Linked DNA regions of Tamandua tetradactyla. The protein of the gene in region 1 purifies or fractionates together with the protein of each later gene. This does not show direct contact. Links are inferred from orthologs where the notes say so. Each region holds a gene or a part of one and is shown on either strand. Other genes may lie near its edges.

Region 1 (7,677 bases):
TCTAGGATTTCTGTCCCATGTTGCCAGGACAAATAAACATTTTTTGCTTTAGTCTCACACATAAGGTGAGATTTTAAAATATTAATTACCATCTATTTTGAGCTCCCTGCAGTAATGACATTCCTTTGTTCTTCCTCATCTCTGCATTATTTCTAACAAGTGTATGTGAATTTATAATTACTTCAAAATGAGAAGTTTAATTAAAACCAAGCAAAAATGCTGAACTATTTTTAAAAAATAAAATGATGGAATCAGGAAACTATTAAAAATGACCAGAAAGAGAGCAAGACATCCAGCTTCTGAGCAGGGACCCTCGTGTTATGCAAGCTGAGAGAGTGGGTCCAAAGTGGATAATGTTGAGACGAGGAAGATTTGTTCAGAAGCGTGACCAGTGCCACACTGTGGAAAAGGGAGGCAAGCACAAGACTGGGCCAAATCTGCATGCTGTGTTTGGGTGGAAGACAGGTGAGGCCCCTGGATTCTCTTATAGAAACTCTAAGAAGGACAAAGGCACCACTGGGGGAGAGGAGACACTCATGAAGTATTTATAGAATCCCAAGAAGTACATCCCTAGAACAAAAATGATCTTCGCTGGCGTGAAGAAGAAGGCAGAGAGGACAGACTTGATAGCTTATCTAAAAAAAATCTAATGAGCAATAGTTGGCTACTATGTTATTTATTACAAAACAAATGTTTTGTGACTTTTTTTTACATGTACCATATTTAAATTGATCTCATAAACTAGAATTCATATCAAGAATGACTGATAGGAAATTTTTTGTTGGACAGTTGTGTTAAATAAGATTGGCTTATAATTAATGAATATGATCAAGCTTTTTGAATTTTTTACTTTTTAAAATTTTTATTGATAAAATTTAACATACAAATATTACATACATGGTGTACAATCAATGGTTCACAATATCATCACATAGTTGTGTATTCATCACCATGATCATAGTTTTGAACATTTGCATCACTCCAGAAAAAGAAAAAAGAAAAAACTCATACATACCATATCCTTGACCCCTCCCTCTCATAGACCATTAGCAATTCCCTCTACCCAACTTATTTTAACTTTCATTCCCCCTATTATTCGTTTATTTTTATCCATGTTTTTTACTCATCTGTCTATACCATAGATAAAAGGAGCATCAGACATAAAGTTTTCACAATCACACAGTCACATTGTAAAAGCTATACCATTATACAATCATCTTCAAGAAATAAGGCTACTAGAGCGCTACGGTTTCATATACTTTCCTCCAGCCACTCCCACACGCCATTAACTAAAAAGGGATATCTATGTAATATGTAATAATAACCTCCAGGATAACCTCTTGACTCTGAAATCTCTCAGCCACTGACAATTTATTTTGTCTCATTTCTCTCTTCCCACTTTTACTCAAGAAGGTTTTCTCAATCTCTTGATGTTGGGTCCCATCTCATCCCGGGATTTCTGTCCCACATTGCCAGGGAGATATACACCCCTGGGAGTCATGTCCCATGTAGGGGAGGGGAGAGGGCAGTGAGTTCACTTGCCATGTCGGCTTAGAGAGAGAGAGAGGCCACACCTGAGCAACGAAAGAGGTTCTCTTGGGGGTGATGCTTAGGCCTAATTTTAAGTAGGCTTAGCCTATCCTTTGCAGGAATAAGTTTCATAGGGATGAACCCCAAGATCGAGGGCGTGGCCTACTAATTTGGTTGTCCCCACTGCTTGCAAGAATATCAGAAATTCTCGAAATGGGGAAGTTGTATCTGCCCCTTTCTCCCCAGTTCTCCAAGGGGACTTTGCAAATACTTCTTTATTCACTGTCCAAATCTCTCTGGTATTTATTGGATCATCACACTAACCTGGACAAATCAACACAATCTCATGCCCTATTCAAGATTCCATGTACTTATGGTGTTCAACTAAATTGACCATACAAGTTAAATTCAGAAATGCACTACCCAAAATATAAATTTTGCACCAAATAAACATCTTCCCCTTTAGTCTCACACAGAAGTTGAAGTTTTACAGATTCGATGTCTCATCACCTTTACAACTTTTAAACAACTTTTTTATGTCAGACTAGTGACTTTCATAAGCTTTTTGAATTTTCATAATAATTCTTATTCAGCAAGTGCTATCACTATTTTCCCCTTCTAAAGATATAATTGGACTTGAGACTGGGTTGAATTAGTAATATTCAACTTTTCACAAAGATAATAAATGCCAACTCAGCCTATAGGAGATTGATTTTTTATTTTATTTTTTTGTATGCTGAATGGCGGGGGCACATTTCATTCTTTTTCCATGTGAGTAGCCCATTGTTTCAGCACCATTTGTTGAATTTTGTTTGTCTCTTTGTTTTGTTTGTTTGAGAAGTGCATGGTCTGGGAATTGAAACTGCTTCTCCCACATGGCAGGCGAGAATTCTACCACTGAACTACTAGGAGATTGGTGTTATATTTAGATTTATATAACTGTTTTTATGAATATACTTAAGCACTAAGGAAATCCCTTCGTTGTCTCATAGAACAGAGCAAAACTCACCTGTATTTCAGTTGGTGTTCATCAGCCTATTTAAAGGCAGGGGCTGAAAATAAGCTATGTCCGCTGTATCTTCTCAGTCTTTGCTGTGTCAATCTAATTAACATTCCCCATATCTGAAATGCCTTTTAATCAACAAAAGGCATATTGGAGTAGTTTCTACATAACACCAAATAAAGAGTACTGAACACGTCTCACCTTTAAAAACTTGATTCGGAAAACTAGAAACAGAACCAAGAAAACTCTTAGAAAGTAAATACATAATTTTGAAATTAAGAAGCTAAAGGAAAGGTGTATTGGTTTCTTTTGTCTTTTTTTTTTTTTGTATTGGTTTATTATTGCTGCTGTAAGAAGTTACCACAAATTTAATGACAAAACAACACATTTATTATCTTACAGTTCTGCAAGACAGAAGTCTGAAATGGATTTCGCTAGGGCTGAAATCAAAATGTCATGAGGGCTGCCTTGGGGGAGAATGCATTCACTTGCCTTTCCCAACTTTGAGAGGCAACTGCCACTTTTTGGCCCCTTCCTCCAACTCTAAAGCCAACCGTGTTGGCAGAGCCCTTCCCAGGCTGCCATCTCTGGGGTTCTCGTCTTCTGTCTCCCTCTTTCACTTCTAAGGACCCTTGTGACTATGTTGATCCCACCTGGATAACCTAGGGTAAATTCCCCATCTCAAGGTCAGCTGATTAGTGACCTTAATTCCCCTTTGCAGTGTAACCTAAATAGTCACAGGTTCCACCATTAGGGCATGAACATCTAGGGCTAAGGGGACATTGTCCTGCCTACCTCAGATGGGTTAAACAGAAGATTAAAACCTCTACAAAATAATTGATGAATTGAAAGGTAGAACTGAAGAAACTACTCCAAGGAAAACATGAGAGCTCAAAAGACATGGAGGACAAAATTCAGAATCCTAGAAGAGAAAAGGTTCATATAAGGGTAAATGGGAGGACTTTGTATCTCAGATTCTCCAATTTATTGCTTACAAGTTAACACATTGTATCACAACAATGTTATGTTTGCAAAGTTTCACTTTTGAGTCATGGTCAAACTTTCATTTTCTCAGAAAGCAGCTTTTGATGGGAATTTTAGTATTCATGACTATATGTCGTAATATGATTGAATGTACTTTCTTAGTGTGCTAAGTAAGTTAACTTTTTTAAATGCAATTTTCTGAGATATATTCACACAGCATAGAAACTACCCAAAGTGTACAATCACTGACTTGCAGTATCATCACATGGTGGTGCATACAGCCCCATGATCAAATTAAGAACATTTTCATTACTCCTGAAAAGAAATTAAAACAAAAAAGAAAACCCAGCACATCCCATCCTCCTTATCCCCCATATTATTGACCCACAGTGTTGGTGAGGTACATTTGTTCCTGTTGGTTAAAAAGTATTAAAATATTACAGTTAACTATAGTCCACAATTTGCGATAGGTACACTTTTCCCTATATAACTACTAACTCCTTACAATAGCAACTTAACTTTCTAATAGCATCAGTATGTTTTATGTAGACCTTTCCCATTTAAAACCTTAAAAAGAACTGTATTGAGAAGTCTATTAGCACGTTAAAAAGTTCCTTTACGAGTCATTACAGCATAACATACAGAATATAAAACGAACACTGTCTAGAACAGATGTGAGAGGAAGAAAATCTTAGATTTGTAAAAAGTATAAACTGAAGCATATGCTCTGTAGTAAAAAGTTTGATCAATTTCAGCTCGTTTTCACCCGGGAGCATGCGTTGGCCTTTTGACAAGTGCTGTCACGCCCAGGCGTCGGCTTTGGTCGCCGGTGCTGGGTCTGCACTGTTGAGGGGCCCGGCCTGAGCTGACCGCGCGGCGCCGTTCGCCCTGGGCCTCTGGCAGCGGGTGCCCTGTGGGGCCGCCACAGGCTGCTTTCCGCGCGCACGCCGCTTCCCACACCCGGCCTCAGCAGTCCTAGCAACCGCCTCGGGGCCTCTCTCCGCGGCTCGCTGGGGCTCCGGGAGGGACGCGGCCGCTGCTGCCCTCCCGACCAGTTCCCGTTCCGGGCCGGGGAGGCAGCCGCTCAGGCCCTGCCCTTGGCGCAGCTGCGGGCTCGGCGTGGTGCCCAACCACGGTGCTCTGCGGCCACTGCGTTCCCCGGCGCCGCGCTCCCGGGCCCCGGGGTGCTCCTCCCCTGGTGCGCTCCCCGGCGCTCCCGCTTCCAGGTGCTGGTGGCCTGGAAACTGGCGGCCAAAGTAAGTCCCAGCGACTGGGGGTTCGCGCGTGGGGGTTCGCGCGGAGCCGACGCTTCCTGGGGTTGCGGGCGCTGCGAGTGAGGAGGCGCAGGGGGCTGGGGTCCGGGATGCCGCGAGCGGGCGGAGCGCGACTCTGCTCAGGAAGAGCTTGGGTGGGACACCGCAGAGAGACCGCGGAGTTCGAGGAATGAATGCAGTGGAAGTTCAGAGGGATGAACTTCAGCGCCAGCGGAATCTCTCCACTCTTGTTGAAGGTACGGGCTCTCAATCCTGGCTGCCCCGCCGTAGGATCACCTGGGGCGTATCCTAGACCAATTCCATCAGAATTTCTGCGGTGGGACCCAGATCCCTATATATCTTGCTGCTGTTTCCTCTGTGCAGCCAGGGTTGAGAACCATTGATTAAAGGGGGACCGCCAAAAGAAGGTGGAAAGACGGGGCCGGGGGCTGCCACGCAACGGGCACTCCCAGAGTTCTTCTTTGTCCTGAGAAGTGGAGGGTGGACTTCCCTCCGGCTTCGTAACCGCAGGGAAGGGGAATGAAGCGGTGCTTCGCGGGGTCCCTTGACTGTCGTGTTAAAAGAGCCTTGAGTGTGCCCAGTCTTTTGGAACATCCGCCAGGATAGACGAATTACAATGCCACGTTCTGCATTCTGAGAAATTCCTCTGTCAGGTTCTGAAATTAAGTCGGGAGAAGCCAGGAAACCCGTGGCCTTGTGTTCTATTTCAAGGCTGAAGCCAGGTGGGCGTGCCAGAGCTGGGTTTATCCCTCCTAAAAGCCTTCCGATTAAGATTTCCAGTGTCCAGGGCACAGAACTCTACCATGGACGCTAGAGAGGAGTGCATTCCACAGGATGGCCGTGCCTCCTACTGTCCTCACTAGAGGTAGACGCTGTGCAGGAAGCTGCAATCTGGGCAAGCAGGGCCTCTGGACCATGGACAGATTTCTGCTGCATGTGCCTGGCAGGGAAGAAAAGTAGATTTGAGGCAGCAGCAGAACGGTAGGAGAAGAGGGAACTTTCAAAGGGCCTAAGAAGAGTAGGTTTTATTTTTGTGGAATGGAGAAATAAATTCAAGCTTTGGAGCCTATCAAATCTGGGCCTAAATTCAGACTGTCACTTCTGTGGTAAGTGACTTGACCTTTTTGAACCCTGTTTTCTTACCTGCAAAATGGGAATGAAAATAGTAACTTTCTCTTGGGGCTTAGATAGTTAAAGAGAATGTATCAAATGGCTGGGAGATGGGAGGTGCTCCAGCACAGGTAGTTATCAGCCATACTGTGGGTGATGAGTGTCCAACAGTTGTTTATTTAGCCCGCTGCTCTGAGGGAGAGTGCAGTCGGAGCTCCACCCATGCCCCTCTCCTGCCCTGCTGCCCCTGCTCAGGGGAGGGTTCCATGGTTCCTACCCCTTACTTTTTAGTGCTTTGAGGTCTGGGATCTCAGACCACAGCCTTCTTCTTTTCTCTGATGAATGGCTCTAGAATATAGTTTCACCCCATGTGACAGGAATGGATTTCTTGACGAAAGAAATTTGTATTAATAAAAGATGGGTCCCAGGAAAGCTGGATTGTCTTTAGGGCCTCAGAGACAATGTGGGCACACACACGGGTCTCTTGTGGGTGGCACCCTGAGACCACGCCCCTGCCATCCCTGCTTTGCTCTCCTGGGAGCGGTGAGAAGGTCCTTCTGCAATGAGCAAGGACAGTCGGGGACCTAGGGCTGGGGGAGCCCACATCCTGCAGTTGCTGATGCCGCCTCCCAGCTGAACCGCTCACCCTGGTACCCGTTCTGCGGTCACTGATGGTCAATAAGAACTGCTCTTTTTTTTTGCTCAGTCATTTTGATAGTAATAGCAGCACTGTTTAGCTTAGACATATATAAACAGTGAGGTAATGTTGGCATCAAGATCAAGTGTTTTTACAATGATATTTGCTCAAATGAGAATATCCAGGTCTTGTCTCTTATCAGCAAAAAGCGTTTCAGTATTTGTTCAAAATCCAAGACAAATCTAGAATTTGAAGTTTGTTATTAGGTCCTTCCATGATATTTTTTTGTGGGGGGTAGAGGTGGGTTGGGTGGATTTTAGGCAAGATGAAGGAACTGGAAAAGCTCAAATCTGCAGTTGTGCTGAATTTGTTTCATTCAGAAGCTGTCGGTATTTCCCAAGTTTGGGGAGGTACTGTTTTATCCCCCCAAGTTTTCAGAAACCCTGTTTTCTTTTATGTTTTGGAGAAAGACATTTGTATGTCACACAAAGGGCCTCCTTTCATCCTACCACAAAGGCCTCAACTTGTTTCTAGGAAACTCTTCAAATGCTCATTGAGGGCGTCTCTTCCAAACCCTGACTCCTTTGTTAAGAGGTAAGTAGTTGCTTGCCATTTGAATTAATTGGTGGTTTGTACTCAGTGCTAGAAAGTTTGTCAAAGCAAGACTTCTTGGCTTGAATTCTTGTTGAAGCATGTGTTTTCACTAGAACAGCAACAGGTTAACCTGTGGGCAGAGACGGCAGTGCAGGAATGGTCAAAGCAAGCTTGCCCCACCCCCACCCCCACCCCTACCCTTCGCCACCCTTCCAGCCTGGGAACCCTGGAATCAGCTTACCCAAAGGGCTGGGGGTGCTGTCCCTTTGAGGGGATATTACCTTGACCCTCTGATGGGGCAGGGTTCCCTAGCAAATAATGTCCATCTTTTACGCCAGCAAGGCAATTTTCATTGTCTTAAACTTTGTTAAAATCACTAGGTTACTCTTGTGTAAACCACCTCTTTGCAATTTATTTTGCCTACTAGACCTCTTCCTGTAAGTTATAGAAAGCTGTAGTTTAAGGGACTAAAAATGTAGCTCAGTGCAAGGGTCTAGGTAATTGCCAAGTTAGTACCAGGTTTGGGTAGATTGATATTTAATAAA
Region 2 (7,237 bases), on another chromosome or scaffold:
CGACAGACATATCACCAAGATTAGCCAATTTAAAACCTCAGTCAAAAAATGGTCATGCTGCGTATAGAGTAACTGAACAACCAGTCATACTCCTCTACTCCTTGTGGGTGGGGAGGTTTTGGCAAAGGTTTTCTCATTGGTAGAAGGCAGGTTATGAAGAATGATTCCCCAATCACTAAAATAAGGACATATATCATGAACATAAATCTTTTTATATTCAGTTGATCTAAAAGAACAATTCAACCAATATCCATGCCAGGGCCCAAGTACATGTATTTATTAGTCCCACTTTATAAATGAGGAAATGGACACCTTGTGAGTCAACTGCATGGCTCAACCTTAAACTCAGACTACAAAAATACTGCTAATATTAAGATCTTAAGTAACAAATGGTACAAAAGAAGGAGGTATGGCAATGCCACAGTAAGTTCAATGCATTTCTCTTGTTTTTGAGGCTTCTTTGAAGACAGAATTAATTTCCTACCCAATTCTACAGGCGACCTTTAGACTATGAAAATTGTGTAATGAGTATGGAGGGAGAATGTTTTCCCTCCCCCTTCACTCTTTTGCCTCCAAATGGCACAAAGCTTAGAATTTAAATTAAAATCTTGAGATGCAGCAGCAGCATTCAAAACGGGAGAAGGACCAACATGCTTTAAAATATCATATAGGTGGAATAAAAATAAATAATAGGGGGAACAAATGCTAAAATAAATTTAGTTTGAAATGCTAGTGATCAATGAAAGTGAGGGATAAGGGGTATGGTAGGTACAATCTTTTTTTTTTCTTTCCTGTGTTTGTTTTATTTCTTTTTCTATTGTCTTTTTATTTCTTTTTCTGAATTAATGCAAATGTTCTAAGAAATGATGAATATGCAACTAAGTGATGATATTGTGAATTACTGATTATATACATTGATGTTTTATTTGGCTTCTTAATTTTTAAATTAATAAATAAATAAATTTAAAAAATATATATCGTATGGGTCCCTCAGTGCTAAATTTCCATTTGCATAGATGGTTCTAAAATATATCCACCCTCTCTGACCAACCAACACCCTTCAAAGTTGACTTCACACACATACTTGCTCAGCACTTGCTCCACAGAATTACAGGCCCAGGGTAAACAGACACCACACCCTGTATGTCACTGTCCTGGGATGATGGCATACAAAAAGGGGGGACAATCTCCAGAAGCGTCCCAAATCTACAGCCCGCCCAAGCCTGATAGTAAGAGGCCGTAAAGAAAGGGTACAGGAAGGTGAAAATCCAGTAACATTGGCAGGCTGAAAGCTGAGGACTCGATCTGATATTGGACACTAACTGCTTGTATCCAATCAGGGATCTGGTACCAAGTATTTTGAATTAGGTACAGGTCAAGAACAGAGTGCTGCTCTTAGGAATTTTAACTAGTGCAGGGCCTACCTAGTTAAATCCCTATTGCAAGGACAGAACACAAAACTAGTGACTGGACCCACTAACTAATACATTCAGCCACAGGTCTGCAAGTATGATAGCAGTTTCCCTGGAAAGAGAAATCAATGCTAGCTTTCCCTTGAAACCTATACACTGCACTATTTTTTTTTCCAGGACGCCAGAGGCATTTTCTTTGACCATTTAACAGTCCTCAGCTTATGTTAGTGCAAAAATAAAACAGATTTCCTTTGGGTGTGGTTTTGATATTTAAACTTTCACGACCACGAACAAAACAAAAACAACAAAAAGTTCAAACCTCTAAAATATCTCAGACTGTAGTGGAGCGCTGTCCAATAGAAATACAAGGGGGGCCATATATGTCATTTCTAGCAGTAGCATTGTAAAAAGTAAAAGGAAACAGGAAAAATGAATTTGGATAAAGTTACCATTCAGCACGTAACATATGAAATACAGAAATATTTGATGGTTTTTTTTCATAGTAAGTCTTCAAAATCCGGTGTATATTCTACAATTACAACACATTTCAATTTGGACCGCCGCATTTCAAGAGCTCAAAGATTGCCTGTGGCTTACTGCGAGCAACGTATTGGAGGACAGCCCAGCTCTAGAACCACTTAAACACACACACACATACACAGAAACAACCAAAGCAAACACAACCACGCCCCCTCGAAAAACACACATCAATTTCAATAAATAGGGCATTCAGAGTTGGGCTGTTATTGCTGGGTTTTAGTAAATGCAGAGAGGAAACCTAGGAGAGTAAAAGAGGAGGAAAGGAGGGCAGAAGAGAAAGGGCAGAGGCTACACGAGATGAGCGTAAGAGTCCAATTGCTGCCTCCGCAGAGCCAGCGCGCTCTCCCCACCACGCCAGCCCCAGGCCTTGCAGAACAACCAAGAGTTGATGAGGGGAGTGGTCACTGCCGTTTGGGATCCAAAATCCGCTGGCCCCGGACAGGCGTCTGCGGAGAGGGGTGCAGCTGGTCTCGGGGTCGGCCCGGGAACCGCGCTGGCGCCCTACCTGTCGAGCAGCGGAGTGTGGATGTGCAGGTGCTTCACTGCCACCTGAACGCGCCAGTCCGAGTGGCGGGCGGACGACACGGTGCCCGAGGCGCCGCGGCTCAGGTAGCGCAGGTCGGCGAGCTTCTGGTAGGGGATGGTGGGCAGGGCGCTGCAGATGGCCTCCCCGTTCATGGTTGCGGCGGCGCGGACACTCTGGCCAAGGCTGGTTCCCGGTTTGCCCGCCGCGGCTCGGCCCCGCCGTTCCTGCGGCTTCTCCGCCAGCGCTCGGGCTCCGGGAAGCGCCCCTGCGCCAGGCAAGCGAGGGCCTTCCTACTCCGAACACTAAGTCACAAGGTCGCCCATTCTCCAGCTCACGCCGGATCCTGCACCGCCCGCTGCTTCTTCCGAGCTGGAGCGGACGCTTCTTTTCTGGAAACAGTGTTGAGCTCAGGAGCGCCGCGCCTTGCCAAGGAGAAGCTTCCTATCCGGGACGGGTTCCTCCCAGCCGCACCCCGCCACCCGGGCCGGGCCGCCGAGCTCCTCCCCCCAAACTTCTCAGGCTACGTCAGTGGCGGACACTGCGCCCGCGAGAGGCAGGCCTCCCGGGCAAACTCCCGCCCCGCGTGAGCCCCGGGAGATCCGGGGAGGCTGCGGCTGGGCCAGGGAAGTGAGGGACGGGGAGGGACCCGGGGGCGCTTCTTATGTTCTCTCTCCTCCCGCCCCACTCCCCCGCCCCGGGTTTGGAAATTTTCCTTTCGGGGAAGTCCCTCTCAGCGGCCTGCTGGCTGAAGTCCGATTGGTGAGCGGACCCTCCCAGCCCGGCGAATTTTCTTCCGGCCCAAAGTCGGGAGATGGAGATGGAGCGGGTGGGGCTGGGGGTAGGGGTAAGGGGAGGGGGAGGGGGAGGTGTAGGGGGAGGACGAGCGGAGTTCGCGTGGCGACTCTGCGCCTGTGCAGAAAGCGCTTCTGGGCGCCTGGTGGTTTCCTAGGGCCCCACACAAAATGAGCCCGGCGTGGCCGTAACGGTAAATTTGCCGAACTAGACGCCCGTCTTCCCTCACTTCTAGTTACTTGAGGAGTGAGAGGTAGTTGATAAACCCTATAGGAGTGCAGCACGCTCAGTGGTTCAGCTCTAGTTATATGCTCCTGTACTAGGAATCTGCCTTCCTTCTCCTCCCTAATTTCCATAACTATATAGAGAGATACTGAAAATGACCCTGAAAGAGCCCTTGCCTCTGATTCCAGGTAAGACTGCAAGGATTTATTTCCTACAGATCTGGGAGAAATGCACGCAGTCCTTAATGCCAACAACAACAGCAACAAAATCTGTCTTTCCACCCTTCTTGACAAACATCTTTCTACTTAGGTGACTATTGTGTAGTTGCATAGAGTATGAATGCAAACATTATATTCCATAACAAGTCCACACTAAGTATTTAATGAATTTTAAGGCAACGATACTAAGGAATGCCTGACTTAAATGGAGGAATTCTGCCTACAGAAAATCACTGCTTCTGTATTTTTTGAAACAATTTTTGAGATATAATTCACATATCATACAAGTCATCCATTTAAACTGTATAATTCGGTGATTTTTAGTAAATTCGCAGATATTTGCAACCATCACTACAGTCAATTTTAGAACATTTTCATCACTTCCAAAAAAAAACCAAACAAAACCATGCCCTTTAGCTATTACTTCCCTAAGCAACCACTAATCTGCTTTCTGTCTCTGATTTCACTGTTCTGTACTTTTATATGAAAGAAATCAGATAATAAATGGGATTTTGTGAATGGTTTCTTAGGATAGGGTTTGCGATATTCAGCCAATATGTGTCATGTATTGGTACTTCATTCCTTTTTGTGGCCAAATAATATTCCATTGTATGGATATACCAGATTTTGTTTATCAATTTGTTTGTCATTGATAATGGCCATTTTTGTTGTTTCTATCTTGACTTGAATAATGCTGCGCTAAGCATTTGTGAACCAGGTTTTTCGTTTCTTTTGGATATATACCTAAGGGTGGAATTGCTGGTCATTTAATTCTACGTTTAACCATTTTAGGAATTGACAGACTCTTTTCCAAAGTAAATGCACCATTTTACATTCCCACCAGTACTGTCTGAGGCTTCCAAATTCTCCATTGCCTTGCTAACATGTTCTCTGACTTTTCTATTCTATTAGCCATCCTAGCGGGTGTGGTATGATATCTCATGGTCATGGCTTACATTTCCCTGATCTTGAGCATCTCTGCGTGTGTTTGTTGGCCATTTGTGTATTTTCCTTGAAGAAGTGTCTATTCAGATCCTTTGCCTGTTTTAAAATTAGGTTATTTATCTTTTAATTTTTTTCGTTGTAAGAGTTCTTTATACATGCCAAATATCAAAAACCTTATCAGATACATAATTTGCCAATACTTTCTCCCATAATGTGGGTTTCTTTTCACTTTCTTGAAGCACAAAAGTTTCAGATATTCACAAAGTTCAGTTTACCTATTTTTTCTTTTGCTGTTTGTTCTTATTATGTCACATCTAAGAATCTCTGCAAAAGCTAATATCAGGAAGACTTAACTCTGTGTTTTCTTGTAAGAGTTTAGCAGTTGTAGTTCTTATCTTTAGTTCTTTGACCAATCTTGAGTAAATTTTTATATGTGGTATGAGGAAAGGGTCCCATTTCATTCTTTTGCCTATGGCTATCCAGTTTATCCAGTACTTTTTTTTTTTTTTTTTTTTTTTGCCTGAGCAGGCACTGGGAATCGAACCCTAGTCTCTGGCATGGCAGGCAAGAATTCTGCCTGCTGAGCCACTGTGGCCTGCCCAACACTATTTGTTTTAAAGACAATTCTTTCCTCATTGAATGGTCCTGGCATCCTTCTTGAAAAATCAGTGACAATAGATGTATGGGTGTATTTATGGACTCTCAATTATATTCCATTGATCTATATCTCTGTTCTTATGCCGGTACCAAACTTTCTTTTTTTTTTTTTTAAAGGAAAGACAGAGAGAAGGAAGGAAGGAAGGAAGAAAGGGAAACATCTTTAAACATTTTCTTGTTTTATTGTATTTTGTTTTTTTGTTTTTGTTACATGGGCTGGGGCCGGGAATCGAACCGAGGTCCTCCGGCATAGCAGGCAAGCACTTTGCCCGCTGAGCCACCGCGGCCCGCCCGGTACCAAACTTTCTTGATTACTGTTGCTTTGTAGTAAATTTTGAAATTGGGAAGTGTGAGTCCTCTTACCTTGTTCTTCTTTTTCAAAATTGTTTTGGCTATTCTGGGTCCTTTGCAATTCCACATGAATTTTAAAATCAGCTTGTCAGTTTCTACAAAGAAATCAGCTGGGATTCTGATAGTGATTGTATGGAGTCTGTAGATTAATTTGAGGAGCATTGCTGTTTTAGCAATGTTAGGTTTTCTAATCCATGAAGATGTTATGCTTTTCATTTATTTTTGTGTTCTTTAATTTGTTTCAGCAACATTTTGTAGTTTTCAGAGTATAGACTTGTACTTTTTTGCTAGATTTATTTAAAATAATTGACTTTATAGGCTAATTTTGAGTTTTTTGAGAAATTATATTGTTTGGTTATTTGAAAAAAATGAATGAGAAAAATGAGGCAATTATAATTCTATGAAAAATAAAAATTATAGAAGAAAGGAAGAAACATTTCTTCAAACTATTCTGTGGTGGTTATTGAGTGAAGAGTGTAGGCAATTTCAATAGTTTTGATTTATTAATGTTTATTGTACATAACTGAGGATGACAAAAGAGGAGATCCAAAAAGCAAATAAATGTGAAACAATACTCAACATCATTAGCCACCAGGCAATTACAAATTAAAAAACACATTGCAACACCACTACACACGTACTAGAATGACTAAAATTCAAAAGAATATAACAAGTATGGATGAAAATATGGGGCAGATAGAATGCTCCTACAGTAATGGTGCGAGTGTCAGTTGATACAGTGTTCCCCAGAAAACAGTGTCTCAAAGAGCACCTGATGTATTTAATGACAAAAAGTCTGTTATAATGAGAGTCAGAAAAGTACATGCTGGTTTTTTTTGTTTGTTTTGTATTTTTTGTATAGCCGGACACCGGGAATACTTGGCATATGAATTTATTTACTTCAGCTTGTCTTCAGACTCACAGTGGCTTCGTTGTTTTCCTGTGAATCCATTTTACTTCATCAGTATCCTCTTATGTCTAAATGTTCGAAATTCCATATAATCAATGAGAGTGAGATTTGCTGGGCTTGTCTTTGATGTGAATCTATTAATGCAATGGAAGACAGGATTCTTTTTCTTTTCTCTTTCAGCAGTCTTGTTAAACTATTAATTTAGATTAAGCCTGTGGTCCATTGAATTCTCAAGGTTGTTCTTTTTTTTTTTTTAAACTTTTTTATTGTACAATATAACATATATACAAAGCAAAGAAAGAAAGAAGCAATAGTTTTCAAAGCACTGTTCAACCAATTGTTACAGGACAGATCCCAGAGTTTGTCATGGGCTGCCATACCATTCTCCCAGATTTTTCCTTCTAGCTATTCCAGAATATAGAAGGCTAGAAGGAATAAATACTTTTTATCATTACAATCGACATTTTTTCTTTTTTATGAAAAATGACGTATACAAAAAAGCAATAAATTTCAAAGCACAGCACCACAATTAGTTGTAGAACAGATTTCAGAGTTTTGGTATGGGTTACGGTTCCTCAATTTTAGGTTTTTACTTCTAGCTGCTCTAAAATACTGGAGACTAAAATATCAATTTAATGATTTAGTAATCATGTTCATTTGT

The links. The genes of interacting proteins can lie anywhere in the genome.
Region 2: the proteins of NOD1 (region 1) and RIPK2 purify together in Homo sapiens (affinity purification with western blotting; 4 studies listed by BioGRID and IntAct, with this or other methods). This does not show direct contact. The link is inferred for Tamandua tetradactyla from reciprocal best matches to the Homo sapiens genes NOD1 and RIPK2.

The regions. Positions count from the first base shown.
Region 1 is NC_135327.1:92,674,711-92,682,387, forward strand, and holds the start of NOD1 (nucleotide-binding oligomerization domain-containing protein 1), read left to right. Parts: upstream 1-4,672; 5' UTR 4,673-5,027; intron 5,028-5,052; exon of another isoform or gene 5,053-5,897; intron 5,898-7,072; exon of another isoform or gene 7,073-7,132; intron 7,133-7,677. UniProt on the Homo sapiens protein: Pattern recognition receptor (PRR) that detects bacterial peptidoglycan fragments and other danger signals and thus participates in both innate and adaptive immune responses.
Region 2 is NC_135332.1:133,084,804-133,092,040, reverse strand, and holds the start of RIPK2 (receptor-interacting serine/threonine-protein kinase 2), read right to left. Parts: upstream 3,098-7,237; 5' UTR 2,631-3,097; coding exon 2,458-2,630; intron 1-2,457.